4 linked regions of the Cricetulus griseus genome follow. The protein of the gene in region 4 purifies or fractionates together with the protein of the main gene of each other region. This does not show direct contact. Links are inferred from orthologs where the notes say so. Each region holds a gene or a part of one and is shown on either strand. Other genes may lie near its edges. The genes, in order: Gpatch8, Psme3ip1, Psme3 and Clk3.

Evidence for each region.
Region 1: the proteins of Clk3 (region 4) and Gpatch8 purify together in Homo sapiens (affinity purification with mass spectrometry; 3 studies listed by BioGRID and IntAct, counting the BioPlex papers as one, with this or other methods). This does not show direct contact. The link is inferred for Cricetulus griseus from reciprocal best matches to the Homo sapiens genes CLK3 and GPATCH8.
Region 2: the proteins of Clk3 (region 4) and Psme3ip1 purify together in Homo sapiens (affinity purification with mass spectrometry; 3 studies listed by BioGRID and IntAct, counting the BioPlex papers as one, with this or other methods). This does not show direct contact. The link is inferred for Cricetulus griseus from reciprocal best matches to the Homo sapiens genes CLK3 and PSME3IP1.
Region 3: the proteins of Clk3 (region 4) and Psme3 purify together in Homo sapiens (affinity purification with mass spectrometry; 5 studies listed by BioGRID and IntAct, counting the BioPlex papers as one, with this or other methods). This does not show direct contact. The link is inferred for Cricetulus griseus from reciprocal best matches to the Homo sapiens genes CLK3 and PSME3.

What each region holds. Positions count from the first base shown.
Region 1 is NC_048600.1:115,555,181-115,562,858, forward strand, and holds the start of Gpatch8 (G patch domain-containing protein 8), read left to right. Parts: upstream 1-2,773; 5' UTR 2,774-2,926; coding exon 2,927-2,971; intron 2,972-7,678.
Region 2 is NC_048596.1:170,802,971-170,809,472, forward strand, and holds the end of Psme3ip1 (PSME3-interacting protein), read right to left. Parts: intron 3,856-6,502; coding exon 3,638-3,855; 3' UTR 2,912-3,637; downstream 1-2,911. UniProt on the Homo sapiens protein: Promotes the association of the proteasome activator complex subunit PSME3 with the 20S proteasome and regulates its activity.
Region 3 is NC_048600.1:114,356,721-114,364,449, reverse strand, and holds the start of Psme3 (proteasome activator complex subunit 3), read right to left. Parts: upstream 4,665-7,729; 5' UTR 4,238-4,664; coding exon 4,196-4,237; intron 3,492-4,195; coding exon 3,459-3,491; intron 3,347-3,458; coding exon 3,284-3,346; intron 3,060-3,283; coding exon 2,955-3,059; intron 1,560-2,954; coding exon 1,511-1,559; intron 1,093-1,510; coding exon 980-1,092; intron 792-979; coding exon 723-791; intron 611-722; coding exon 543-610; intron 447-542; coding exon 392-446; intron 279-391; coding exon 192-278; intron 1-191. UniProt on the Homo sapiens protein: Subunit of the 11S REG-gamma (also called PA28-gamma) proteasome regulator, a doughnut-shaped homoheptamer which associates with the proteasome. 11S REG-gamma activates the trypsin-like catalytic subunit of the proteasome but inhibits the chymotrypsin-like and postglutamyl-preferring (PGPH) subunits.
Region 4 is NC_048597.1:169,397,969-169,405,698, forward strand, and holds the start of Clk3 (dual specificity protein kinase CLK3), read right to left. Parts: upstream 4,767-7,730; 5' UTR 4,318-4,766; coding exon 3,868-4,317; exon of another isoform or gene 3,831-3,867; intron 542-3,830; coding exon 390-541; intron 1-389. UniProt on the Homo sapiens protein: Dual specificity kinase acting on both serine/threonine and tyrosine-containing substrates. Phosphorylates serine- and arginine-rich (SR) proteins of the spliceosomal complex.

The sequences.
Region 1 (7,678 bases), on a different chromosome or scaffold from region 4:
ACCTTCAATCCTGCAGGGAAACTCTTTTAGCTCAGGGAATAAACAACTCAAAACTTCAGGAAGTTCCTGAAGTTGATGAGATTCACTAGACCTCTCCCTCCCCAAGCATATACAAGTAGTAAGGACTGATGAGGAATATGCTAAGACTGGATCAGCTACCTAGAAGAGTCTCAGACAAGCTAAACCACTTGGAAGAAGCAGGGACCAGCTGAGCTTGTACAATGTGCTCCAGGCCCCCAGTTCTTGTGAGCTGCCACCCATTCAGGGGTGGACTTTGATGATGCAGCTCCGTTTGAGTCATTTCTCCTTCTATAAGTAACCTGTCACCCATATTCCTATAGTAATCCCAATGAAACTCATTCACTCACTAAGTTGGACTTTGGCGGTATCTGTACTTTAGTCAGTTCTCGTTTCCTTATCTGGGATAAGCAGATGCTTATTCATGTCTCCTGAGGAATAATGTTTCACAATGTGTAGCACATGTTTGAAGTGCCTGTGGAGGTCAGAAGAAGGCATCAAATCCCCTGGAACCAGGGTTACAGGCCATGTGGGTGCTGAGAGACCACGGGATTGCTGGGAACCAAACCTGGGTTCCTCTGCACGATCAGTAAATGTCCTGACCTGCTGAGCCATCTCTCCAACCTCCAAGATTTCTTGCTTAGTCTTCAAATATTCAGTGTGGATGGGGTTTCCAGAATAATGGACTTTTCCATGGGGTATTTGGGCAGGACATGATCTTTATGTTGGGGGTGATGCCCTCTCCATCCCATGAAGACCTCGCTTCTGTAAGCCATTTTCTCAGGGAGAAGACTTAGATGATTTGCTGGGGTATTGGTGTAGTGGTTTGAATAAAATGGTCCCTCCCCATAGGCTCATATATTTGAATGCTTAGTTTCCATCCAGTGGAGTTATCTGAAAGGATTAGAAGGACTAGGAGGTGTGGCCTTGTGAGAGGGAGTGTGTCACTGAGGGTGGCTTTGAGGTTTCAAAAGCCCATGCCATGGCCAGGTCCAGTGTCAATTCAATCTCTCAACTTCTCTTTCTCTGTCTCTCTCTCTGGCTGTGGATCAGGATGTAGCTCTCAGCTACTGCACCAGGGCCTATCTGCATACTGTCATGTTCCCTGCTCTGATGATAATGGACTAAACTTTTGAAGCTGTACATGAGCCCCCCAATTAAATGCTTTCTAAAAGTTGCCTTGGTCATGGTGTCTCTTTCCAGCAACAGAACAGCGACTAAAACAGCTGAGTTTTTTTGCACAGATCCTCTCATTTCAACAAATTATCTCCTTCTTGGTTACTGCTGGCATGTTAAGGTTCAGTATCTGTTTGGTTAGCATCTCTAGAGAAAGCCTCCAGCAGCTGTCTGAATGGAGAAAATTATTTAGGATCCAACTGCGCCCTAGACTGGCTTGTAACTAGTCCTTGTGTGTTCATCTCTGCCCACACCTGCACCTTCCCTGGTACCAGGTGCAGGCCCTTGAGGCCAGCTAACCAGACCAGGGAGAGCTCAAGGCTTACTGAGACACTTTGTCTTAAAAAAATAAGGTGGCAGGAAGACTGGAGAGATGACTCAGCTGTTGAGAGCACTTGCTTTTACACAAGATCAAGGTTCAATTCCCAGCACCCATATGGTAGTTCACAACTGTCTGTAATTCCAGTGCCAGGGAATCTGATGCCCTCTTTTGACTTCCTTAGACACCAAGCGCATACAAGGTACACATACATACTTTCAGAGAAAACAGTCATACATGAAGTAAAATGAATAAGTCTAATAAAATCAAATACCCCCTCCATAAAAACATTAAGAAAGCAGGAGCTGGAGTGGTGGTTATGCAGGTAAAAGCGGCTTTTCCCTTTACAGAATAACCACATAGTGGTTCCTAACTGTCTATAACTCTAGTCTCCAGGGATCCAACAACTCATACATGAGCCTCAAACATATATGGAGGGGAAAATAAGAAAAAAAAAAAAGTCAAGCTCTTTGCAGACCCGTGTTATCGTTTTTCCAAGGTTGTGGATCCCTTGTTATGATTTATAGGTAACTTTGAGACAGGGTGTCCTTTCCATTAAAGTGCCCCCCCCCTGCAGTTTCACTAGATTTTGCCGAGGCAAGGTCTTTTTGCATTCCAAGCTGGCTTTGAACTCCCTGTGTAGCCAAGGATGAGTTTGAACTTCTGATCCTTCTCCTTCAGCCTCAGTTGAGGCTTTTACCTAGTTTTAGTCTTTGACACTTGCTAATATTTACAACTATTAAGTCATTTTACTGGCGATCTGGCTTCCCGCCTGGAATGGAAGCCCTATGAGAAGAGATTTTTTTTTTCCTGCCTCTCAAGTAATCCTATTATGTGTCAATTTAAAAAATACTCTCCTTGGACTTGGGAGTCGAGCCTCTGCTACATGGAGAGTTGGATGGAGTCCAGCCTGGGCTACAGGAAACCCTTATCCAAAACCAATAAAAACACTTAAAAGTACTCTGGCTCTAAAAATCATATCTCGTGCTGCTGTATACTATTATTTGGCCAATACAGGATGGGCTCGATCGTAAACAAGAGCAGAAGAAAGACTACTAAACACCATTAAGCGAGCAAGCCCTGCCCTGCTGATCTTTCCCTCCGGAAGCGCTTGTGGCGCTCTGGAGCAAGTGCGCATGCGCGGCCCCGCGAGGGTCGCTCCGGGCCGTGCGCGAAACCGGGTGGTGCGCGAAGGTTCCGCCTCCGGGCCCGCAAAGCGCCTGCGCCCTCGGAATTCCCGTCGGGACGCATTCTTGCTCCCCCCTCCCTCCCTCCCTCCTAACCTTCCCCCCCTCCAGCTGCGCGCGCCCGGTGGGCGTGGGAGGAGGCGTGGAAGCAGGGAGGGGGCGGGTGTCGCGGGAGGGAAGGAGCGAACCGGAGAGCGTCGTCCTGAGGAGGAGTGAAGGCGGCAAAATGGCGGACCGCTTCTCCCGCTTCAACGAGGACAGAGACTTTCAGGTAAACACGGGCGTCTCCGAGGACCCCCCGGAGGGCTCGCCGCGAGCGCGGGGCCTCCGCCTTCCCGCCTCGGCTCTCTGTCCTCCCGCGCTCTGCTCCGCCTTGCAAACCGGTTCTCTTTTCTGCCTCTCATTTCTCCAGGGGCCTCCCAGCCTGAGATGAGGCCGCGTCTCCGGCTTCATCCCCTCCGCTTCGCCCCCGAGACGCCGGCTCCCTCCTCTTTGGCTCCTGGCTCCCCAGCGGGCTGCTCTGTTGGGGCTGCGCTTGGCTTGGCCCGGGGGCCTGTGCAGGCGCAGGGCTGGCCCTCAGGGGACAGGGCTGGGGTTGGGAAGGCTTGGGCCAGTGGTTTTCAGGCCAGGGCGTCCGAACCCTTCCTTGGATTTTGCTCGCCCCGATCACATTGGGAATCTTTTCTCCTCCTCCCTCATTGTGATAAACAAACCCTTTATCGTCTCTGTAACCTTGTCCTCGCCCTGGAAAAGGGTACCCTTACTTATCAGACGCCTTTTTGTTTAGGCGAGCATTGAGCTTTCTCTGGGCATAAATACTGCTGTTGTTTTCAGGCCGTTAATTGGGCTTGGGAAACAGTAAGGTATTAGGACTGTGGACTGGTGTAAACTTAACTTCGAATCCTACCAAGATTTGTAAGGGGTATAATAATGGCCTTCCCAAGCGTGAGGTGGTGACTCGTGCCTAAACCTTCATTTTTCTTCGTTTGCAAGTGTTGATCTGGAAAGATGTCCCTACGATGGCAGGCGTTGCGGGGTGGGGGCAAGGCCGAATTAGAATGATCCATCTTTTAACTGTTGAAATTGTTACTACAGAAATAATTGGAATTATAAAGGATTTAGTAGCCTTTGGCTATTTCTACGTAAAATACCTCCTCAGAGATGCAAATCACTGCATTACTACCGCATCTCCTGGCAACAGCAATTTGGGTCAAGGGATGAGCCTCGGAACTCAAGTTTTTATCCATTTGAGCTTACTCCAAGCAACACAGGACTACGGTAGCTGTGTGTCAGAAGGCAGTTTGAAGGGTTTGAATTCTTGGAGATGATTGGGTTGGTAGATAGACAAAACAATTTAGCAGTTTTTTAAAAACTGTCTAACAGTCTTCTGCGTAGAACACTGGGAATTTTGCAGCAGTAAGGAATTTGGGGGTTGCTGAAAACCCGAGTGTGATCATGTGCCTGCTGTATAGGCTGCAGCACCAAACAGCATCTCAAGGCGTTTTTAAGAATGTGTCGAAGGTCCACAGAAGTTTGAGGCAGTTCAGTTTGGACATTTGATACCCGAGAAGGTGTTTTGTTTTTTGTTTTTGTTTTTTTGAATAGCAAGCCCAATAAAGCATGTACAAAGTGCATGAGCTTTTATTAATTTTATTAACTTAAAATTATTTAAGGAGATATACATACGGATGATGAAAACCTTTGAATGCTTTTCAGAGTTGAGAATTTCAAGGTGACCTAATAAAATTGAAACCAGACAGGGTAGACAGTTTTGAGCAAAAGTGGCCCTCAACTATTTCATCAGGCTCAAAGAGGATTTTGAATGAAGATTTTGAAAACAGGGTATCAGAATTTGAGTGCTGTCACTTAGAAACTAATAGGAACACGTTTTGATGCTTTAGTAGAGTTCATATACAATCTGATTTTATGGGCCAGTTAGATGGCCCAGTGGGTTAAAAACCCTTGTCCCATAGGCCTGACACCCTCAGTTTGGTCCCTAGAAGGTAGGAGAGACCCATTCCAGGAAGATATCTTCTGACCCTCACATAATATACACACAAGATAATAATAAATTTAAAAATTTTAATTTAAAAACTCACAAAAATCTGATTTTAGGTGGTTGAAAAAGGAAGAGGAAGAAGAAATTAAATAATAAGCAGCTATGGTGGTGGTTCAGGAACTTAAGGCATTTACCAACAAGTCTCACGCCCTGAGTTAGAGTCTTGGGATCTAGAAGTGGAAGGAAAGAACCCAATCAGATCCTGAAAGTTGTCCTCTGATGCTCCCCATGAAGTTAATACAATAAAAACTTTTTAAAAATCAAAAATAGATGCCTTGAAGATCCTTGACATTACTACATGCCATTTTAAACTGTATTTTCTGCATTTGCTCTGACATAATCCACTTAAAATTTTGAATGTCCTAGCATTTTTCCTAAATTGAATATTGGAAATAGTTTTTTTTTTTTTTTTTTTTTTTTTTTTTTTTTTTTTGAGACCAGGTCTCATGTATCTCACAAAGCCTTAAATCTGCAATATAGCCATGGATGACCTTGACTTGTGAATTCCCTGTCTCAGCAGTGCTGGGCTTACAGGTGAGCTCTTCCACACCCAGGATTTTGTGCATGGTAGTAGGCAAACACTTTACCCACTGAATTAAATCACCAATTCAGAAATGGAATTTTTTTTTTCTTTCCTAGCAGGGTTTCTCTGTAACAGCACTGGCTGTCCTGGGACTAGCTCTGTAGACTAGGCTGGCCTCAAACACAGAGATCACCTGCCTCTGCCTCCCCCGAATTATTTTTTTTTAAATTGCATTCTGTATGTATGTATGTGTGTATGTATGTATGTATCTATCTATCTATGAGTGTATAATGTGTGTATATATAGCAGGTTCTCAACTGGAGAGTTACATTCCCAGTAAATTATTATGCTATCATTTCTTTTTTAAAAATTCCTTTAAAAATACTTAAGGGCAGAAGCAGGCGGATATTAAGTTTGAGGCCAGCTTGGCCTACAGAGCTAGTTCCAGGACAGCCAGGGCTACAAAGAGAAAGCCTGTCTCAAAACAAAACAAAGCAAAACAAACAAACAAAAAAACACAAAACCTTAAAGGCTCAGGGTATAATAAGTTTTAGTGGTAGAGTACTTGCCTAATATGTGAAGGGCCCTGGATTTGATCCTTAGTACTATGGTGAAAATAGTAATAATAATATAAAATGAGAATAGTCAATATATTTATCTCTGGGTGTTTTAATAAAAGAACATTGATTGACTGTCAATAATGTCCTTTGGTTTAAAGCCATTGAGGGAATGAAACCTAGTAAGATGCTCAGTGAGTAATGTTTCAAGCTTAGATTACTCACAAGTTGAATGTAGCCTCCTTTGAAGGTTTTAAGTAGTTGAACATAGTAGTGCAAATTTATATGTCTACCATTTGGGAGGCAGAAGTAGGAAAATTGTGAATTTGAGGTCAACCCTGATACATATAACAAGACCCTGTCTTTAAAAAAAAAAAAAGAAAAGCCAGTTCTGACAGTGTGCTCCTGTAATCCCAGAGCTTTGAAGTTAGAAGTAGGAAAATTTAGGACTTCAGTATTATCTTTGACTACATAAGCTAGTTTAAAGCCAGCCTGAATTATGTGAGACCCTGTCCCAAAATTTGAATAAGGTGCCAACAAGATGTGTCAGCTAGAAAAGTTACTTTCTGCCAAGCTTGCCTGATGACTGAATTTGATTCCCAGGACCCACATGCTAGGAGAAAACTGACTCCAACAGGTTTAACTCTGACCAGCTCCACATGTGTGCTCCCACACACAAATGCATAAATAAAATTGAAAAATGTTAAGAAATAAGAAAAAAAAGCATTATTCTCTAGGTTTTGTGTATATTATCTCTACCTTCACAATAATACTTATGGAGTAGCTGGTATTATTCCCATTTTTAAATGAAATAATTGTGGCATAGACAGTTCAGTAACTTGGTTAATACTTCTGTTACATCATAGGGCTTGAAATTAGACTAGCTTTTCTAATTATTATTATTATTATTATTATTATTATTATTATTATTATTATTGGTTTTTTTGAGACAGGGTTTCTCTTTGTAACTTTGGAGCCTGTCCTGGCACTCCCTCTGGAGACCAGGCTGGCCTCGAACTCACAGAGATCCACCTGCCTGCCGATGCCTACCAAGTTCTGGGATTAAAGGCATGCGCCACAACCACCCCACATCCGATTTTTGTTTTTTAAAAATGATGGGTATATGTGAATATCTGAGGGGTTTGTACTTGTGAGTGCAGGGCCTGTGGAAGCCAGCAGAAAGCATCAGATCTTGTGAAGGTGGAGTTAGAGGCAGTTGTGAGCTGCCTCACATGAGTGCTAGGAGCCAAATTTGGGTCCTCTGTAAGAGTACTATATGTTCTTACTACCATCTCTCTAAGCCCTAGATTGGCTTATAACTCTTTTAGTTATTGGGTGTGTGTGTGTGTGTGTGTGTGTGTGTGTGTGTGTGTGTGTGTGTGTCCCACAATGCATATGTATGAAAATAAGGTCAGTTTACTACCTTATGGAGTCAGTTAGGGCCTTACACCTTCCTGGGGACTTTTGGGATTGAACTCGGGTAATCAGGCTTGCATAGCAAGTGTCTTTACTTGCTGAACCATTTTGCTGTCCAATGTTGCTCCTGAACCTGTATTCAAGATCCTTTATTCTACTAGCAGTTTTACTTATTATCTGTGAGTGTTTGTTTATTTTAAAGATAGGGGCTGCTCACATATGTTTTACACAGTATAATTGAATCATCAATTATGGAAGGTAGATTTATAGGTCACACAAATAATGTGACCTTTTGGACAGTTTTTCTGTGCTGTTTTGTTCAGATGTGTGTCTTTCAAGGGCTTCTAGGCAGGCTTCTGACTGTGATAAATTTCACAGTCATTAAGGATACATTTTTTGTTTTGTTTTGTTTTTTGTTTTTTG
Region 2 (6,502 bases), on a different chromosome or scaffold from region 4:
AAGTGTTGACAAGATTCCAGCCAAGCATCGAGCACCAAGAAGTACTTGCATTCCATGCTAACGTGTATAAAGTAGGTTGGCCATGCTAGGATGCCAGGAAGCCACCCAAGTCCAACCAAATGGTTGTGTTGCCACTGAGCTCAACTTGTTTTTCTGAAGGGGCCTAAGATGACAGCTGAGTCACATACCCACAGCAAGGACATTCGAGCCAAGGAACCCAGTGTGCCTAAGCAATTAACATTTAGCTAACTGGAGCTAACACAGAAAGAAGCTGGTAGAGCTGGCAACCAGCTCTGACCCTCCCAACATGTTATTGTTCGAGCTACAACTGGGGAATGCCAGTGCCATACGAACCTATTTATGCACTCTGGACACCCTGCCTAGGCAAGGGAGCCATCTAATATAGGCAATCAGTTATCCTGTAAGAAGCTGGTGTCATTCCTCTTTCCTAGGGGACAGGGCATGTCTGCCTGCATGCTGATCACTATGGCTTATCTTCACAGGGTGGAAAGAAGCTGGAACAGCAGGCCTGGTCCAGGCAAACCAAGCTTTTCCCTTAGGTGAGAAGGGGGAACCCAAAAGGGAAGAATTTAGGAGCTGGGAAGCAAAAGCAGAGGAAAAAAAAAAAAAGTAAGGATTAAAGGCACTTCTGTTAAGAGTGGGCAGGGAGGGGGTAGAGGTGGGGTCTTACCTCAGTCTGAGGAATAAACTTTCTACTGGGCCCTAAGACCTCTGGAAGTTGTACAGGTAGGAAGTCAGCTATCTGTCTAGGTCAGTCACATCAGCCTGCCTGCTGTTTAGAGGGAAAATAAGTGACTAGAATTCCAAGTCTCTTTTCTCCAAGTGGGCAGTAGGCCTCAGGTAGACAAATGGCAGGAAGTGACTGCAATAGGTCGTACAGTCGTACAGTCCCTTGCCTCCCAGATAGAGCTGGCAACTGAACACTGCTGGCTCTCTGCAAGTGGTCTCAGAGCTGTAAGAATTCTGCCATCTGAGACAATGTACAAGGCTTAGAGAAACAAACCCCAACCATCCTTTTTACTTTTTCTTTTGAGACAGGGTTTCCTCTGTGTAACCGCCCTGGCTGTCCTGGAACTCACTCTGTAGACCAGGCTGGCCTCAAACTCATGGAGCCTCCATCTGCCTCTGCCTCCTGAGTGCTGGGATTAAAGAGGTTATGTGCCACCACCACCCAGCTCCTTTACTTTCTCACTTAACTGTAAAATTCCAGTTACTCAGGCAGGAGTACATCTGGTGGGATTAGACCCTAGACCCTCCTCAGAGGTCAACACCTGCAGATGCTCAAGTCCTGGCTGCAAAATGTCCTGCTTGCACAGAACCTACTCATGCCTTCCTGTATACTTTCAGTCGTTCCTAGCTCACTTATTCCATTTACATCAACTTATGCCCCCTACAGCAATGTGATATCCTAGAAGTTGTTACATTGTCTTGTTTAGGGAATGAGAAAGGTATATCCATGTTGAGTACAGAGGAAAGGCTGACTGTGTCCTGAAGGTTAAAGTGGGGTTTCCTTCCATTTCTGCTCACTCTATTCTTCTGTGGTAGGAACTGTAGGTCTGTCCTGGCTGCTTCCCCTGTTGGTTGGCCTGCTTTGCACAGAACTGGTGTTTCAATTACAGGCCTCTACACCATTTGACACAATGAACTATGGTTAAAGGGCTACCAGTGTGACTCAAGCTTTCCTGAGACACCAAAAGCAGAGACCAGGCTAAAGTTGGGTATAGTGGCACTCATCAGTAATCCTAGGACTCAGGAAGCTGAAGCAAAAGGATAAGCTTGTAAGCCACCCTGGGGTACACAGCAGACTCTGTCAAGAGGAAAAGAAACTTGGGTCTGAAGACTGTTCAGCCCAATCAGCTGCAAATAACTGGCAAGCTAGAAGCCTGAGATGTGGCACAGAGCAAGAGCTTGCTCTAACAATTTCAAACCCCACAACCCTGTCACCTGTTTTCAAAATCAACAGAGGTACACTAGTGGCCTCTGAAAAATCAAGCTACATGAAACTGATGACTGATGTCTTGGTCTGCCTCCTGAAATGGTTCAGGGTTGCTTTGGATACAGGAACATGCTGCAGGAATGACAGCACAGTCACAGGAACAATGACACAAAGAGGCAGAAGGTGCTTGCAGTTTTACCTAAATGTCTTGTCAGGATGGGGCTGACACGCCTGCACTGCCAGTCAGACAAGATTAGCACAGGGAGGCTCTGCAAAGGCAAAGATGGCAGCACTTACAGGAATCCACGATGGGTGAAGGAAAACTACCATCTGCTGGTGGGCACCAGTGTCAATACACTACAAGGGGAAAGGAAGGGCTGGATGAGATCCAAGGCCCTCTCTACCCACGTTAAAACAGAGGAACTTCCTCTGCCTGCCAGTATGTCAGTGCCAACACATTCGGTGTGTGTCTCACTCGTCTCACACCCATAGGAAGGAAAAAAACAATGGCTACTGGAACCAGGAGTGAGAACTCAGGCTCATTCTGCAGCAGGAACACACAGACTGTCAGATAGATGTCTCCCAACTGGAGTCCTGCACACCTGCTCCCTCCCTCCTCCATGAGACAGAAACAGGCAAGACCTGCTGCTCACGGCCCAGGAGCTGTTGTCTGGGAAGTGCAGGGACAGTGTAGGTGTGAGTGTGGGTGTGGGTGGTGGATAAAGGAAAATACTGAGGCAACACCTTAGACTGGAAATTCCTTCACAGTCAAAAGCTACAACTCTATGTACAAACAGCAGTGCCTTGGAGGAGTAGAGTATAGCCATAACAGGCATGTCCCACTAGTTTGCAGTCTGAGGATTCCAGAAACTGCTAAGCATTAGTCATCTCTTTAACATAGCTATCAGCAGTTACAGCTTCTGGCTATGATTCAATAAATTTGCTTCTCTGATGTTTAGAATCTTAAACTATTTTTTTTATTTCAAAAACAAAATCAAAAACAATTTTCCATGGAGAAAAGGTGGGCAGAAGATGGACATGTCATTACCAGGTCCTTCCTACCTCCTCAGGCTTACCAGGTCCTTCCTACCTCCTCAGGCTGGGTGGAGGGAGGAGAACATGGAAGGGCATCACCTCAAGGGCTGTGGGTGGCACATAGCCTTGTGGGTATGGTTTGCAATCTTTAGTCACACAACATCCAGGAAGGGTTAATTCTAGGACAGTGCTCATGGCATCAGCTAGTCAGCCCCTTTCTCTCTGCCCACACACAACATGGTAGAACCAAGCAGCCCCTTCCCCTGTAACAGAGTATTGAGATAATGTCTGTCCTTGCTTCCTGTGCTACTGGGAAAGGAGAAAAACAAGAAAGCAACAAGGTCCAGTGAACTCTTGCAAGCCAGCTGGTACCTGTCCTTGCACAGGTACATTTCTGAGGGCATTTCTGAGACTTGCCTGCACCCTAACCCCTCATATCAGTGGGACAGGTTCAGTCATCTGCACTGGAGTTTACAGAAAAATCAAGCAGAGTTTGAGCCACAAGTGGACTGTGGCACATTTCTGAGTTAGGTTAAAATGTTACATGTGCACAGGAAGCAGATGAAGTTTTTTGAGGGAGATGATGTCGAGGCAGGACAGACATCTAACCCTCTGGGGAGATGCTCCCTGTGGTAATGTCAGGAGCTAGGGTGCTTCGAGGAAGGTGTTGGTTCGGAAGATGGAAGAGACTATCTTCCCTGTAGCATTGATGGTGCCTTCGCTGTCTGAACTGGACTCGGAGTCACTGCTCCCAGAGTAGGCACCCAAGCCAGGGAGGATGCCGATGCAGACAGCAGCAGACGGACAATGGATGGAGGGTCCGCTCAGAGAAGAGCTTCCAAGAGTCATGCAGGATGGAGCCTCTGCCAAAGGGAAGACAGGAAGTCAGTTATCACACTTCCTAATGCTGAAGGGTCATCCCCAGGTCCTGGACACCATGCCAAGGCTTTCTACAGAAAACAGCCCCAGTGCTGCAGAACAAACTCTATGAGTTACTGGAGGCTCTGGACATCTTCGTGTTACAGGTGAGGAAGCTGACAGAGAAGAGAAAACACAGAGTTGAGACTCAGAGTCTGCCCACTCTCTTGCCACCCACCAGTTCTGAGGAGTAACAAACCTCATAGAGTCACCTATCATAGTTTGATTCCCTGTCTTCACAAGTCATGATATTATAGCAAGTGTGAATCAAGTCTGATGTCTTCCTTAGCTACTGCTGTGGCCCTCAACTGGAGGCTAGATCAAGAGACCAACTGTGAGTGATACTAACAATTCTATGATGCCATACTTAGAGACCAGTGTATCGACTAGCAGAGATTATCCATACAGTTATGCTCTTTATGAGGCATTTTCCCATGATGGGGAGATGGGCACCTCAGAAACTCATTTATCACTTTCGCTTTTTAGTCCTTTTATGCTGAGAGCCACTGAAGGAAACATTTAAAACCATGTACACTGTCACAATATATCGGAGCTCTTCTTTCTAGGATACGCACAGGGATTCTGTTACTCCAATGACAAAGGCCTCAATCTACAAAATGCAGAACTTGATGATGAAAGGAAAAGTTAGGGGCATGGAGAGATAGCTGAGATTAAAGCATATACTGTGCTCTCGAAGAAGACCTGAGTTGAGTTCCCAGCACACACAGCCTGTTCACAACCTATAATTTGGGACCCAGAAGCCCTCTGATGGCCTCCATGGCATGGCATTCATGCATATACACCCAGACATATACGTATACACGTAATTAAAAACCAAAATCTCTTTTAAAAAAATTCAAACAAACCTAAATTGAGAATGGTACTTCATTCTTTCTTCCCTCTGAATGTTTCTAGCCTCATTTAGTCACTGTAACAACTTATATGTAGGTGTTCTCCCTGCTTACTGATGAGGGAAGTCAAATAAGTTGCTAAGTACACAGGTTAGAGTATAAAACACTAAAGTAAACCTTTGCCAGAAGATGCTGCACTAAAGTGATGCCAAAGCTCAACGGAGCAGAGAAGGTTCAGTTCCTAAGTCACCGCCTGGGGCTGACAAGGACATCCCTTTTGGTGTTTGCCTTCTATAAATCTACATCTCACTTGTGCAGATACCTCAAGAGAATGCAAGAGACACTGACTCCAAGGCTATATTGAGAAGAGCCATCAGCTGTTGGACACAGAATGCAGCTCAGGGTGTCTGTTCCTTTCCAGTAAGCAACAGAGAAGCTGCTGGGGATAAGCAAAGCTCAAACATCTCAGAAAGCACAAGAGCAGTGACTGGGAGGCAATGGCAATGCTTACAACAAATATCACAAAAGCTAGCAAGTTTAAAGATATAAAGAGCTTTTCTAATCTGTTAAAAAACAAACAAGCTGTGGGGGTACCGGGGAAACGAATTCAGTGGTAGGCGCTTTCATTTGTCTAGCATGTACTAGGGCTCTGAGTTTTTTGATCCCTAGCACTGCAAAAAAAAAAAAAAAAAAAAGAAAGGAAAAAAATCAAGAAGCCATCCATCAACAACCAAAAAGCACAAAGAGCAGCAGGATATAGCAGTACATACCTATCATCCCAACACTTGGGAGGCTGGGACAGGAAGGCTATTGCAAGTTCAACACCAGCCAGGGCTATAAATAATAATGATGATGGTGGTGATGACAATAAAAAAATAATGGGTACCCTGGGATATAATCAGTTAGTAGCATTCTTGTCTAGCATGGTATGAAGTCCTGGCTTTGATCCCCAACATTGCAAAAACTTGGCATGGCAATTGTGCTAGATCATTTCATGTCAACTTAACACAAACTAGAGTTACTTGGAAGGAGGGAAACCTCAACTGAGAAAATGCCTCCATAAGATCTGGCTATAGGGTAGTTTCTTAATTGGTTATTGATGGGGGAGGGTCCAACCCATTGTGGGTGGTGCCATCCTTGGGTTGGCGTTCCTGGGTTCTGTAAGAAAGCAGGCTGAGAGATTTGCGATGTGATCCTCCAGCAAGGGAGTTCGCCTGATAAGAGAAAATGAAAAGCTGTGGATTCCTTCCAGACTAATATGGTTTGATCAAGCAAGACCCCTTGAAGCAGTGACCCAACTGATCCTACATCCAAAACAGCTGAGAAGATACAGCCTTACAGACTACAAAAACAAGGACTTGGTCAGATTTCTGTGTTTTATCATGATCCCCATGTTTATATGGTGGATTACATTGATGGATTTTCGTATGGTGAGCCATCCTTGCATCCCTGGAATGAAGCCTACTTGATCATAGTGGATGATTTTTCTGATGTGTTCTTGGATTCGCCAATATTTTCAAGAACTTCAAATACAATATTGAAGAGATATGGAGAGAGTGGGCAACCTTGTCTTATACCTGATTTTAGAGAAATCACATTGAAAGACAAACATGAGCCTTCATCCAGTAGCTGATGGAAGCAGAAGTAGAGATCCACAGCTAAACACTGAGCCAAACTCCTGGAATCCAATTTCAGAGAGGGAGGAGTGACCAACAAAGGGATCAAGACCATGCTGGGAAAA
Region 3 (7,729 bases), on a different chromosome or scaffold from region 4:
GTGCTGATGAACTACTATTTATATGTCCCCAGCCAGCCTCAAAGTCTGGATCCTGTCCTGAGCAGTTGGGGTTATAGGCAGAGGCTACCCTGGCTATTCTACTCATTTTATTCTGAACCCCAGTTTTTAAGAAATTAGCACAGAACTAAGAGGAGCCAGGACAGCTACGTGCAGGGAGTGATGTTACTCACATACTGATTCCTCAGTTCTGAGATGATGAGACGGAGGCTGATGTATTCTTTCTCATCAATCTCTGTGACCGTGCGGCGATAGTCCTCCTGTATGGGAAGAGGGGAGGCTAGTCTTCAAGGCCCAAAGCCCACAGACAGCTTGTTCCTAAGCATCCTACCTACCCTTCCACCCCACCTCAGACTCCCAAACCCTTACTTACCACATGGGGATATTTAGCTATTTTAGAAACCAATTTGGCTCTTGTAATATAATATCTGGAAAGAGGAAAAAAGAGAAGCAGCTGAAGGGGGCCCTGAACATGTCTCCCATTTCACCAACCCAATTCCTGGACACAGCCCAAACGGCTGTACCTAGAAATCTGGTCCAGATAAGATGCAGCTTCACTCTCGACAGTTCTTAGTTCTGCAACTGTTTCCTCCTATGGGGAAGAACAGGTGAGTCACATTACTTCCACATCACTCTACAGTAGCACCAAAGAAAACAGTCAAAGCAGGGGAAGCAGCTCCCAGTTTGCAATATGAACACATTACCTGAATAGACACCCCGAAGTTGTTCCCATCTTCTATTCTGGGAATCAAGAGCTGTACCCACATTTTGACCTAGAGTGTAAGATGACAAAATACATGTAGAAGGACCTTGGTCTTTCCTACTAAAGTCACGAATTACATGACGCTTGTTGCCGGAAACAAAGGAATCAAGAGACTTAGCCTGCCACGCCCCACCCATCATTCCATAGTTCAAGTGGAGCTATTAAGGTCCAGTCATAGGTCACTAGCCTCTGCCTCACCGTATTACATTTCTCGATCAGCAGCCGAATCTCAGGTTTTACTTTCTCAATAATGTCCACCAGCTGCTGGTTGCTTTTCAGCATCCCATTGGGCATCACAAACACCTTGGTTCCTGGAAGATACATCAAGTTCACGTGTTCAGGGCAGTGGAAAAGTGAAGGCACCCTCCAGCTTTTCCTCTTCCCTAGACATAGAAGATGTATTCATCTTTGCCTTTTATCTTTCAAAAGCTAAATGAGTCCACGGCCCCTTAGTGAATCAGGCAACTACTCCTGCATGGGGCAAATGACACAGAGCATGGGACTCCTATGACAGTTGTGAGGTGTGGCTTCTGCCTCCCAGCACTCTTGATGGCATCTACACTAAGTCAGACCCCCCTGGTGTACTAGGAGACTAAGTAATGACCACTGTAGGAAGATGCCAAGTGTTGGTCCTGGGAAATTAAATCAGACCTCACTTCTTGTGCTGGTGAAAACCCGAACCATCCTGCTTTGCAGGGCTGTCAGCTTAGACTAGGTGGCAGCTCTTACCTTGGAAGGCCTCTTCACATTCATCCAATCTACGCTTCTTGTAAGTGGGCTAAGGATATAAAGAAGCAGGAATTAGCTTCCATTCAACACCACATACCCATTACAAGATACTATACAAGCAAACTTAATTAATTCCTTCCTGGACCCCATAGGTTATCTTAATATATATATCTTTCAATACAGGTTCTTGCCACAAACTTGCACTCTACTTGGAAAGGTCAAATTTACAACAAATAGAACACATTAAAAGAGCAGCTGAAGAGGCCAGTGAAGTTCTACAGATAGTAAGTAAGCACTTACTACATAGCTTAACAAATGAAGTTTGATTCCTGGGACCAACACGGCAAAAGGAAAGCCTTGGTATGCTCCCTATCCACACAATAAATAGTGTTTGTGTTTTGAAACAGTAGAAAAGCAGGGAAAATTCTATTTTTAAAAAGAGGAAGAAGAAAGCATTCAAGGCAGGTAGAGAATAATTGAGGGGGTATGTACAAATTTGTTGGTTCTAAAACAAAGACAATATTTCATCAACAAACTCAGAACAGTACCTTCTGTATGCTAGGAAATGTTGGGACTAAGGCAATTAAGATGGTTCCTGCCTTAAATTGCAGATTTATTTTGGAAGAAGGATCCCAGTATGAGTTCCAACTTCAATTCATTACGTATCCCAGGCTGGTCTTGAACTCACAATTCTCCTTCCTCAGACAAGCTGAATGCTAAGCCACCACACTCAGCCTAATTAAATTAAGATAGTTCTGAAAGCTAATAATATAAATCAGTGGTACAGCATTTATACACCATGCACAAGACCCTAGGCTTGATCTCTAAGGCAGAAAAAAAAAATCACAGGAATTTAAGACAAAACTATAACATCACTGGTGTTACAACACAATGTACATGGAATACAGTATAGGCATTAGCTGCACAGTGGCACACACCTTTCACCCCAGCGTTTACACAGCAGATCTCAATGAGTTTGACGCTAACCTAGTCTAGTCTACATAGGGAGTTCCAGGTTAGCCAGGGCTACATAGTCAGACCCCTGCCTCAAAGACAAAGCAAAGTTCAGGTGCTAAAGAGACAGTAAAGACAGGGACTGCAGCAAGAATAGCTTCTCTTCCCACTGCAAGACACAATACACTGAATAAAAAGTCTTATTCAGAAGCCTGGGGAAAGTCAGGTAGCTGGGAAAAAACAAAACACCACCATCAACAACAAAAATATAGCTAGTATAGACCTAATTAAACTCGGGGCTAGCACTGCAGCACTAACATACTCACCTTGCTAAAAATGAAACTAAAGGTCCAAAAAAGTAGTATTCTGGAGTCACCATACCTAAGACAGAACCCCAGATCCCACAAGCAAAGCCCACATCCTCTGTACATCCCGAGGCTTACCAAGAAATAAAATACTAAAAACACAAACATAAATGCAAGACACTCACACCATCCAGTCCATCGTGGCTATTGGTGAGGAGAATGGGGTCAGGGACTGGGAGATTCATGTCTGAGTGGATCTGAGTTAGGTCATGGATATTTAGGATTGGTTCCTGAAAGAGAGGCATTCACCCCAAAACAGTATTAGTGTAAGTTTAAAAAAACCAACCAACAAACAAAAAAAAAAAAAAAAAAAAAACAAGAGAGAGAAAAGTATTTCTTGTGAAAGAAAAGAAACAAGTGCCTTATAGTACACAAGACAACAGAATCATCACACCATCTGCCCCATTTGTCTCCAAGACAAAGGTAATTTAAAGAAATAAAAAATGTCTCTCACCTTCAAAAAACTATCAAGTTCTAATAACTTCTTTGGGAAAAAATTTGCCACCAAGTCTTCTGCCTAGACAGAGAAAATACACAAGAATTAATAAACATGGGGTAGTCACTCCCTACGGATTTTGGGAAACCCCCAGCTATTAGCCAACACCTTTTTTCTCCTTTACAACACTCACCTCACTTGTGATCCGCTCCCTGAAAGAATCAACCTAAAATCAACAAAGAGAGCAATTCAGAACCTGGTGACACAAGGGCAAGAATGGGGAACCCCAAATCCAGCTGCCTTGCCCTCACCTTGGAATTATAATGGGAAGGTGAAAGGCCCCCAGACTGCAAATACTTTATTTTTTTGAGGATCCATTTCTCCATCTCAGGAGAGGAATGTCGGAGCTGGAGGGCAGCACCTGTCAGTCTCCCCTTTCTCTTATCCCCTTCTACCCCCCTCCCCTAGTCCCCTCCCTCCCTCCCTCCGGTTGTCTGAAGCCCTCTGAATTTGATAAGCAGACAGATGTCAAACTGGAAGAGGTGAGCTCACAAACGTGCCAACTCCCACCTAGACCTGGCCTTTCATACGCAGTAAGCCAGCCTCCAAAGGCAGGGTCAGTGGCAGCGTCCGGGGGCGGGGACATGGCTGGGCCGGGGGACTTCCACCTGTCACTACCCTAAAGCACTGAGTTTAACACGTGTCCGAAGAGGAGAACCTGGTGCGCTCCATCACCAGAAGCAGGGCAGAAAGCCACCCTACATCGTCTTTTCCAATGCCGTCTCCAGGCATGGGGGGGCTGGGTGAGCCGAGCGGAAGCTCAGAGCTGGTGTCCCCAGGGAGACAAAGACGACCATGGGGAGTGGGGAGAAGGTCCGACTGCTGGGGGTTCGAATGGAGGGATGAGGAGGCCCGGAGCTGTGCCGCTACCTTGAGCTTCACTTCCTGATCCACCTTCAGCAACGAGGCCATGGCCGGGCAGGGCCGTGTCCGCTCCGCTGGGTGCTGGAGGTGCTGTGGACTCCGGGGAGGGCGCCGGAGGGGCCTGAGGAATCTCCACTGCCCTCGGGACCCGGCCGCCCTCGCTGGCTTGCTCACCGCTTGCTCGTTCCCTCCCTCCGTGCCGGCCGGCCACCCGCCCGCCTGCCGCCTGCTGCCTGCTAGCTCTCTCGCTCGCCCTCCCGGCTTTCGCCGCTCACGCCGGAAGTTGCGTCACAGCCAGTCGCCGGGACTCCGGCGCGGATTAGCACGTGCCCCGCGCAGCCGCTCTGCTGCTGGGCTCTACAGCTTCCTGATGGGGCTCTTGGAGCTCCGGCCCATGTGCCTTGTGGTGGTAAACCTGGGGCAGGGATGCTGAGACCCAGGCTTCCCGGAGGCTCCAGAGTGATGTGTCCTGTTGTTCCGGAACTCGACTTCACTGTGGGACCTCGTGTGCCGCTGCTTCTTAGAAGAGTAGCCGTCGCGCCCTAGTGACGTCGACTGAAGAAGCCCGCGGCCCCGTTCCCTTGTTGAGCGTTCCGGGCTGACTCCCTGACTCCCGCCTCGCATCCCTTTTTACCTCCGGCTACTACCAAACACAAGACAACTTCCCCTGCACCGTTCTTTCCTGCACGCAGACTCAGATACCAGACAAATCCACGCCCAGAAGATGGTTGTGGTTTATCTAAAGCAACACATTGTTTCCCGCGACTTCCCTAGACTCAAACCTTCCCAGTTCTAGGATAAAACTGTTACCATTTTCCAATGGAAGTCTGAGGCAGCATCTCTTCGTTCACCAAATTATTCTCTTAGTATGGGTTATTCAATGCAATAAAGTGGAGATCCCAGAACAGTGTTACACAGAGACTATAAATGTGTGTTGTGTGTTTCACGTATGTGGGTTAGGCTTTTTTTTAAATTTTATTTTTTTTTTTTTTATGTATACAACATTCTGCTTCCATGTATATCTGCACACCAGAAGAGGGCACCAGATCCCATAATGGATGGTTGTGAGCCACCATGTGGTTGCTGGGAATTGAACTCGGGACCTCTGAAAGAGCAGTCAGTGCTCTTAACCTCCAAGCCATCTCTCCAGCCCTAGTCTTTATTTATTTATTTATTTATTTATTTATTTATTTTTAGTTTTTCGAGACAGGGTTTCTCTGTGTAGCTTTGGAGCCTATCCTGGCACTTGCTCTGGAGACCAGGTTGGCCTCGAGCTCACAGAGATCCTCCTGCCTCTGCCTCCCGAGTGGTGTGAGCCACCAACGCCCGGCCTTCCTTCCTTCCTTCCTTCCTTCCTTCCTTCCTTCCTTCCTTCCTTCCTTCCTTCTTAAGATTTTTTTAAATTATGTACACACCATTCTGCATCCATGTATATCTGCACACCAGAAGAGAGCACCAGATCTCATAAAGGATGGTTGTGAGCCACCATGTGGTTGCTGGGAATTGAACTCAGGTCCTCTGGAAGAGCAACCAGTGCTCTTAACCTCTGAGCCATCTCTCCAGCCCCCCAATCTTTTTTTTTTTTTAATTAGCTTTAGCCATGTTTAATCTAATGTATATTACAATGTGTCAGCCCCTTGTGTCTATGGATTTCTAATTCGCTGGGTTCAAACAACTGAGTGGAAAATGGGTGACACATTGGGTATTAAGGCGTTAACGAAGTAAAGCAATCTATTAGGCACACATGCTGTAAGAACCAACTGTCTTCTGACCTTTGTGCACATATGAGCAAGCAAGCAAGCACACGCACGCACACACACACACACGCACACACACACACACACACACACACACACACACACGCGCGCGCGCGCGCACACACACGCGCACACACACATACACGCGCACACACACACACACACACACTAACAAAACAACCACAGAAGCTATGACGCATTGTAATACTAAATAGGAACATGTGGCCATTGGCTATCCTATGGAACAAAACAAGTCTGGAAAACTAGAAGGTTTCTGGTTGTCTGTCATTAATGTTTCATATTAGGAAAAACACCGAAAGTAAAGCGGCAATACAACTGCAAATTTTGATAATCATGACAAAGTAAAGGTAAGTAGACAACAGCAGGAATCTATTTTAGATAATCCTTTCCCATTCAAGTGCAAGTAAATACCCATCCCACCACCCACCTTGCACACTCTTTTCTAGCGGTTCACCTTTCTGTTGACATATCTCTGGTAACTTTCCATGTTACTGTTACTTGACGTCAAGAATTCTCTCCCAAATTAACTTCATCCTATTTTAGATATGTCCTATTTTAGATATGCTTATCGAAATAATGGCTTTGTTCCCAAGTGATGACTTTGTCTTCAGATAGGCTGTGAGAAGATACACTTTCCCCCACTCCCTTCCCAAAAGTTTAGTATAGTGATCCATCAATTAAATCATGTCCACAAATCTCAAGCAAATGTGTGATACCACCTGAGCTCTCATTCTCCACTAGCCCTTTCCATTCACCTCCATTTTATGGTGTTGGATCATTTGTCATTGAAAAGACAGAAGCAAATGAGACATTCCTTATCACCTGGCCTGCTTAGATTTTTTTAAAGATTTATTTGTTTAGTATGTATGTATGTATGTATGTATGTATGTATGTATGTATGTATGTATCCCTGCAGGCCAGAAAAGGGCACCAGATCTCATTACAGATGGTTGTGAGACACCCTGTGGTTGCTGGGAATTGAACTCAGGACCTCTGGAAGAACAGCCTCTTAACCTCTGAGCCATCTCTCCAGCCCTAGTTTTTTTTTTTTTTTTCCATGTTTTTGTTATCTTGACACAAATCAAGGCCATCTATAAAGAGGGAACTTCAATTGAGGAAATGTCTCCATTAGATTCACACACACACACACACACACACACACACACACACACACACACACACACACACACACACACACACAGGATTTCTTCGCATAACAATCCTGGCTTTCTTGGAACTCACTCTGTAGACCAGGCTGGCCTCGAACTCACAGAGATCTGCCTGCCTCTGCCTCCCAAGTGCTGGGATTAAAGGCAGGCGCCACCACCTCCCAGCTCTGGGGCACTTTCTTGAATGATGATTGATATTGAAAGTCCCAGCCTGCTGTGGGCAGTGCCACCCCTGAGCAGGTAATTCTGGGGTATATAAGAAAACAAACTGAGCAAGCCAGGAGGAACAATCCACAAGTAACATTCCTCTATGGTTTCTGCTATAGTTCCCACCTCCAAGCTCCTACCTAACTTCCTTCATGTTGTACTGAAAGATGAAATTAACCCTTTCCTCCCCTAGTTGCTTTTGTTCATGCTTTTGACTTCAGCAATAGAAAGCAAACTAAGACATCACCTTACCACCAAATTACCAACTTACCAATCCTTTCTGCCCCTCTCCATCTTCTCCCATTGGAGGAAGCATCTCTCCTCCCATGGAAACCCGTTCTTCCTTTTGTACATTGTAGTCCATCCTCTATCAGGTCTCAAGGAAA
Region 4 (7,730 bases):
AAAAAAAGTGAGCAAGCATAGAGAAAGGCCTCCAACAGTGACAGAGTTGACTAGCCTGGTACAACTGTTACTTTGGTCTGGGGACTCAGACAGGACTTGGGACCAGTCTTTCTAAGGCTAGGACAATGTTCCTACTTCCCACTGAGGAAGGCTCATAGGTGGGGTACTGGTGTAGAAAATACAGAGGGAGAAGAAGGACCACTTTGTGACAAAGAAAGGGTGACAAGGAGGGTAGCTTCTGCTGAGGCCAGGAAATAGGCAAGGATCCACAGGCAGCTGGGCAGAAGCAGTCATCTAAAAGAACCTAAAGCCACCAGAGCCTCTGGGCCATCTGCTCATCTCGCTGAGGAAACAAGTGTTTCCTTCCTTCCAAACCAGCTCCCACTCACCTTCTGGACCGTGATCTCCTTGGGGGAGGCTCCCTTCGGGATGGGTATCGTAGTCGACCTTCATGCTCCCGACTGTAAGACCGCCTCCTCTTCCAGCGGTAGCTCAGGTATGGGTCTGGCTCTGGGGAACGGTATCGCTTACAGTGATGCATCTAGGCCACAAGAAAGAGAAAGCCCTGCTCAACACACAGCTCACTGCTTCCAGCCACAGGGCTGCCTGGTGCAGCCAGGTGCTCCTGAAGAAGAGGCCCATTGTTCTATTTAGGGGCAACCCCCCTACCCCCGGGTTTATGAAGTAAAGAAGAACTCTGAGGTCACAGTAACAGAACAGCAGACAATGGGTGACTCCATCCTTTTGCCAGTGAATAAACAAACAGGTGCCTCCCCAGCATGGCCTAGGGGCCTGAACACTTGAACTGGATAAGTCAGGGCCCAGATACAGAAGTAGATCTCTTAGGGGATTCTGAGCACTGTCACAGAGATGCTAGGACAGGGGGAAAGAAGAGCTTTGCTCAATGTCTTCCTGCCTATGGAATCCTATAACCTAAATGTTCTAGGAGCCTGAAACTAATGAACTGGTGGCATGGAACCAATGTACTTAGTGGTTTCAGAAACTGCAAGCTGCCTTGCTAAAGCATTGAACTGGACTCAACTCGAAGTTGTGAGAAGACACAGTAGAAAGGAGAACACTAAACCTTGAGCAAAGACACAATGTCTCATCAACATTCCCTACCTTCTACCAAGGTGTAGCCAAGTGGGCATAGGCCCAGAGGGCCTGCCCAGCCCTTGCTGGCCCATCCAGTCTCAGCCCAGGAAGGTGCCACAATCCTCAGAGAATCTAAGCTGCTTGCCTGAGGCACATTTTAGAGGCCCTCAGACCAACTAGAGTCCCATACCAGGTGTTTCAACTTTCAGCAACAGCATCATTGCCATCGGGTCTAGCTCCCCTGACCATCACTGCTTCGTGAGACTATCTCTGGAGGTGCCTAGAAGACGTGGCTGTAGGTCTACACGTGGAAGCAGAAGCAGGCTTTCGATTCACTACCCCTAGCCACTGAGGACTTATATCCAGTACAGGAGACTCCCAAGCTGGATCAGCAACCAGCTGAGGAAGATGGCTACATGAGGATGGTACCATTTTCACCCATATCCTGCCCCTTCACATTCTCCTCACCAGATGGCCAGGCAAGAGACCTTTGCTTGTTTGCTTTCCAAGCCAGCAATTGCTCACACCCAACCTCTAGTCTTGCACAGTCCCAGGCTTGCCTGGCCAAGCACCTTTTAAACAAATCCATCAAGGCTGCTTCACCTCACCAACACAATTCAAAAATGAAACAGCTACTTGTGTATGAGCAGGACAGGGAGGCCAATTCATCTAAACCACTGGGAGTCTCTGGGGACCCTAAGAAAGGCACTGCCTTCTATCTCCCCACTAGCAACCCTCCATCTGAAAAGTCTGGGCCACCCAGAAATCCTCAGAGATAAACACTACATAAGATCTGTAGATTTGTTGTTTTCACAATCATCTAAATAATCATTTTGTTTTTGTTTTTTCCCAATTATCTTACAGCAGGTGCTCAAGCTATGGCCTGAAAGCAGTATCTCATGTCTCACTAACTGACCCAAAAGACATCCTACTGACCAGAGCACATATCTTCCCTCAAGACAAGTGTGGTCCTGCCCATCCTCACCAGGCAGAAAAAGCACCCTATCTGGAGGATGTGGTGATATGGTCTAACATACACGTGGCCAAAGTTTTCCTTCTGAGACCTAGAAATCTTTCATGACCACGTGTCTACTTGAGAGGAAAGTCACAGCTTCAGAGTCCAATGACAACCTAGTCCACGGCACTACCACGTCAATGTTTGCCTTTAGACAAGTTATTAACCACTCAGCTTCAGCCTCCTCTTGAAACAAGGAAACAATAATCTCTTAAAGGTTCTAGAAGAATTAAATATGTCTGCCCTATAAAGTCAAAAGCCTAGAAAAGGTTTGGGCCATAATAAGTACTAAATATAGCCTTTCATTAACCCTAAGAAGGTTCCAGGTAACACTCAGGGTTATGATGAATGCCTTAATTTATAATCCTTTCCAAGGGACCCGGTAGGAAGTTTCGGCAGAAAACCCTGAACTCAATCCCAGTGCTGCCACTACTGGCCCTGTGGCCTTATTTATACAAATCACTTTAGACCTCTGTTGCCATGCCAGGAAAATGAAGATAACACCTGGCAAAGAAGGCCAAGTATGACGGCCATTAAGTACCACACACAGGGTAGTAGTAATGGAGATCACCTCCCTTGCAACTCATCCTGAACAGGTGATATATGGGAAATACCAGGTGTCCCACGTCATCATCCCAGCCAGGGCTTTTGGGCTCATTTCTCATAAATTCCCTCTGATTTTCTGAGACCTCAGCAGAAAGAGAGGCTTTTTAAAACTAAAGAGCCACAATCATGCTTTAGGAGGTTCTGCTCTGTACAATGAAGAAAAAAAGCAATGTGACCAACGAAACCAAGCTAAGGATGCCAGCTTTTTCTCTGAGCACAGGCCTAGCTGGCTTCTCATTTGCTGCTCCTGGCTAGAGAACCGGGCTGACAAGAAGAGCAGCCAGCCAGGTCAGCGGCTGCCCTCCCGGATTCCTGCCACCCAAGCGACCCATGGTTATTTTTGGCTGGCAGTGCCCCACCACTGCAACCTCAAACCTGCCACCTCGCAAGCTGCGGCTGCCACCGGGCAAAACGCTCCTCCTTTTCAAGGGCACGGAGGAGGGAAGCTGGAAGGCCGCCAACTCCGCCTTGACGGGGGCCAGACTCAAGCAATTCCCACCCAAGCATCAGGGCACCCGCACCCGGAACTAAAGCATAGAGGCTCCCGGCCGGACCGAGGAGCAGCCTGGACATTTGTACTCCCGGCTCGGTCTGGCCCACTCTCCGGGATGGAGCGGTTCCATCATAACAAAACACCGAGGGGCCGGAGGCCGGCACTCGAGTCCCTTCCTTCCGCCCGGATCCCAGGGGTCTCAGAGCCCCGTTCCCCGTAACCGCCAAGGGAAGACCCGGCGGCCAGAGGGAAGGCCAGCCTGGGCCAGAATCAAACTCCAGGCGGCGCGCGGAGGAGGTCTGCGGGCTAAGCCTCGAGCCCGGGGCAGGGAAAGCCTTTCCAGGTTAGCCTAGGTCGGACGCGACCCCAGCCGGCTGGCCCGCGTGGGGCCCAATGTGGAACCTCCCAGCCGCCTCGGAGGCCGCTAGGACTCCGCCTCCAACACCGCGGGATCCAGAAAAGGGGTCTACAGTGACCGCCCTCCGGGAGAGAAGCGGCGGGTCAGGGGTGAGAGGTCGGGACCGCGGCCTGACGTGGGCCGAAGAGGGGAAAAAGGTACACGCCGAGACCCGACCGGGAGCTGAGGTACCCGTACCAGCTTGCCCGTCGCCACCGACTCACCCAAGCCGCCCGGCCGCGGGCTCGGGCCCACACTCACCGTCTCCCAGGCTCCGGCTGCGGCTAGGCCCCACTCCCCACTCCGAGCGCCTCTTCCGCTTCCGGCTCCGGCCTCCGCCCGTGGCAGCACCGCCCCTTCGCGTGACGCAGCCGTCGGCGGCCCGGGCTCGACCCGGCCCAGAGGCCTGGCCGCTCTAGCCCCCAACTCGCAGGCTCTGGGGGACCGACCTGCCCCTCTGGGGTCGGGGTCGCCGCGGTGGAGGTCTCTTCCGGGAGGTCCCGGGAGCATCCTCGGGCCGCGACCCGCCCCTCGCCGTGCTGTAGTGCACGTAGGCCCCCGAGGCCGCATCGGTGCTCGGCCGCCACCGCGGCCGGAGCTCGGCTCTGGGCCGAAAGAAGGAACCCACCGGACTGCCAGGCTGGGTCCACTCCGCCGCCGCGGCCCGGCCGTGCTCGCCAGCCTCTTCCTGCGCGCGGAGAGGACTGGCATTGTTCTCCCGGGGCCCGGGAGGGCGCTAGAGACGAAAGCGGACGGTGCGCCCGGGCTGAGGAAGGCGGGCGCGACTCCGCTTGCGCGCAAGAAGCAAGCGACACATTCTGCTCTCGGCTTGTGCGGGGTTTTTGAAAGTCTTGGCGCCACGCCCCAGCTCTCTCGAGCTTGCGGAGCAGTCTCCGGGAAGATGCCCGCGAGCCTCGGCGGTGGGGTCTGAGGAGAGTACGTCCCCTTCTCTTGAACACCTCAGAGCGTCTTGCTGCCAATCAGCACGGTTGCTGGGCTAGGAAACCCGCGCCACACAAAGCCCCGCGCCGTGCCTCGCTCCAGCTCTGCCACTGAGTTACTCGGCTGTCCTTTTTGCTGCGGCCTCGGGCGTGACCCCTCCCACCTACTGCCCCACGCTTTTGTCGTGGCAGGATCATGAGGTCCTATTTTTCCAGAAAGCAGGTCGAGGTCCTTTGGGAAGGCCTCGCTTTGACAGCGTCTCCGCCCCCGCGCGTCGCGCAGCCAAGCGGGCGGGTGCGGCACTTAATTGCCCCACGCCACGCGAGGCCCGAGAGGCTGGAGCAGCCGGCCAGGGCGGGGCATCCCTTCCCTTAAGGATCTCACTGAATCGGGGGGTGGCGGGGGACAACCAGGGTTTCCCATGTGCCCTGCTCCCCATGCTGGATGAGATGCACGCCCACCAGGCCCTGTCGCCACCGAGCCTCTCTCCCATGCTGAAAGTGTCTCTCTAGAGACCTTAGTCTCTGTCTCTGACGTAGTGGCCGGGCATCTTCATCACCACCAAAGTAAACAGTAGCTGAGTAAAAAAAGCTGGGTGATTAAAATTGCTAACGTAACCTCAAGCTGACCCCATAGTCACCTTCTAACCACGAAGAAATTCAACAGCAGCTTCAGTTGCTGCTTCCTCTAGTCCCACCCCAGAAGCCAAAGATACTGAAAAATCCAGGTGTCAGAAGATGCAGATCCCGCCTGAAGCTCAGGGCCACACTGACAGAATTTCATACATTCACAGGTTTCTGTGGTGTCATCACCCCCACACACACCAAAATTGCCCACCCACGTTTCCACGGTTGTGGGAAACCATTATCCTCCAGTTTAATGCCGATATCCTCAAAAAGCTCCTGTCTCCTGCCCTATCCCAAGCATCAGGAATGGTGTATTTTCATGCCTGCTCTCCTAACATGGAAAATCCAGGCGACCTGCCGGAAGCTCCCCACTCCCACCCCGGCTCTAGAAAGCACCCCTCTCGACTTAAACAGGAGCTGTCTCCTAGCTGTGTCAACTCCAGAGGCTGCAGCTTGGCCTTCCTCTATGAGGGTCTCCCGTTAGAGCTCTGTTTTCTTGTCTCTCTTCATGAAAGGACTCACATCTATCAGAAGGAAAGAACTGGTCCTGGAGTGAAGCTGTGTTGATTTACTCCTCCCTACATAAATACACTCCGCAGCATCTCTCCAGTACTCTGATGAGAGGGAACTCAGACCAAGCCATCCCCCGAGGGAGGAGGCTCGATGCTCACCCACTGCCCCGGGCACCACACTTTTCCCAGCCTGTGCCCTTTGCCCATAAGTCTTTTCTGTGTGGCTGGTGTGCGGCTCCCTGGCACCAAGGGGATGCCCCTGTCTGCTTTTATTTAACCCCCACAGCTCCTCTTGTTTCTCTCCACCTTATTTTTTTACCCCCTAGGTTCTTGAGCCCCAGCTCTCTCTCATCTAGCTGCCCTTGCATTCCCCTCCACTGTATCCAGCTCTGTCCTGCCTGGAATGAATTGATACAAATTTGAGCCTCAGCCCCAAGGTCACCTCCCTGGAAAGCATCCTGAGAGAGGTCAGATTCCCCTTTCTGTGCTGTGATGCCACCCTCCCTTGGTTCCTCACACCAAACAGCCTGGCTTGGAAGGCCATGAACCTCTTAAAACAAGTTCAGCACAGGCCTGCTGAATGGGCAGCCTAACTGTGGAGGCCTCTCTTCTACTTGGACCCAGTTAGAGTGGAGTTGTGTGTGGGTGCCATGCCAGGGTATGAGATTAGTCCTCATGGTCTGTTTTAGAGTGGCCTTGAGTGGTGCTGATGTAGGAAGACAACCAAGAAGGGCTGTGGGACTCCAAGGAGGGAGTCCACGGGCTTAGAGGGGCAGGGGCCTGCTGGAAGGTTGTACCAACCTAAGAGGGACAAAGTTCGAGGAATATATAGCGTGTCAGAGCCATGAAAGGTGGGGTAGGAGAGGGGCCTGGTCACCATCTGCTCAAATGGAGATATCCACTAGGCCCTTCCTAAGCTGGAGTTGTAGACACTGGAACAGGAGGGCCTCAGTGTCTTCCTACAGGATTCCTGTGAGTGGATGAAATCCCAGGAGGACTTGACCCAGTCCTTCCTTATAGGTGAAGAAGCCAATGGTGAGAAACGGTGGTACCAGCTGAACTAGCCCTCACCAAAGTGGTGGGCATGGAGGGCAGGAGCTGAAGGCGTCTGGCTCCCCATATCATAGAGTAGTAGCTTGCAAATGTCCACCTGAGCCTACAGTTTCCAGACTCTGTCCTTGGAGGAGCTCGCCATGCAGTGGCAGGGTTGGGGAAAGTGGGCTCTTGAGTCAGACAACACTGCAAATCCCAGGCTTCCTGGGTTTGCCAGCATGACCAGAGACACACATCATCCTGTTTTCAGCTTCAGTTCCCCTCCTAACCTGGCTCTTGAGAGGATCAAAGTCTTTTTGGTTGAGGAAGGTTACCCATAGCTAAGGGAAGCCTAGAACTGAAAACTAGATGGGTTGAGGCTATGTTTATGTGGAGTGTGAATCAAATCATTGAGGGACCCTGGACCAGGGGTGCAGGGTGGGATGGACCCCAGTTCTGCATCTCAAATCAGCCAGGACTGCTCCATAGTCCTGCAGGGACTTATTGCATAGTGTCTATGGATCACATACCCAGCCCTGCCCGCTGTCCCTGGGATTCCTGCCACCTGTGGCCACTATTCTGTGACCACCCACTGAGCCCAACTGAAGGGCTGAGGGAACCACCAGCCTCCTGGAATCCAGGGCACAGCAGGCCCCTCTCTTCCTGGCAGGTGCTCAGCAGAGTCTCAAAGTGGGACAAGAGGCAGTCAAAGGGGCTTTGGGTCAGGTTGGCAGAGAATAGGCAGCAGTGGACCAAGCTGGACCAGCCACCTGTGACTGGTGCCAGAGGCCCTGTTGGAACAAGCCCAAATTCTGCAGAAGTGTGAGCACAAAGTGTGAGCAGCTTTACTGGAGTTAAGCCAGGCCTGCTGTGAGCTAATGCTCACAGAAAATGAGTCTCCCATCTTCTCACCAGGTCCTCCTTGCCCACTGCTCTCCACCTGGGCTGGTGACCCTCAGGACCCAGGTGACAACCATTTTCTTAGCCTCCCTGCTCTCTAGCATTCCATAAC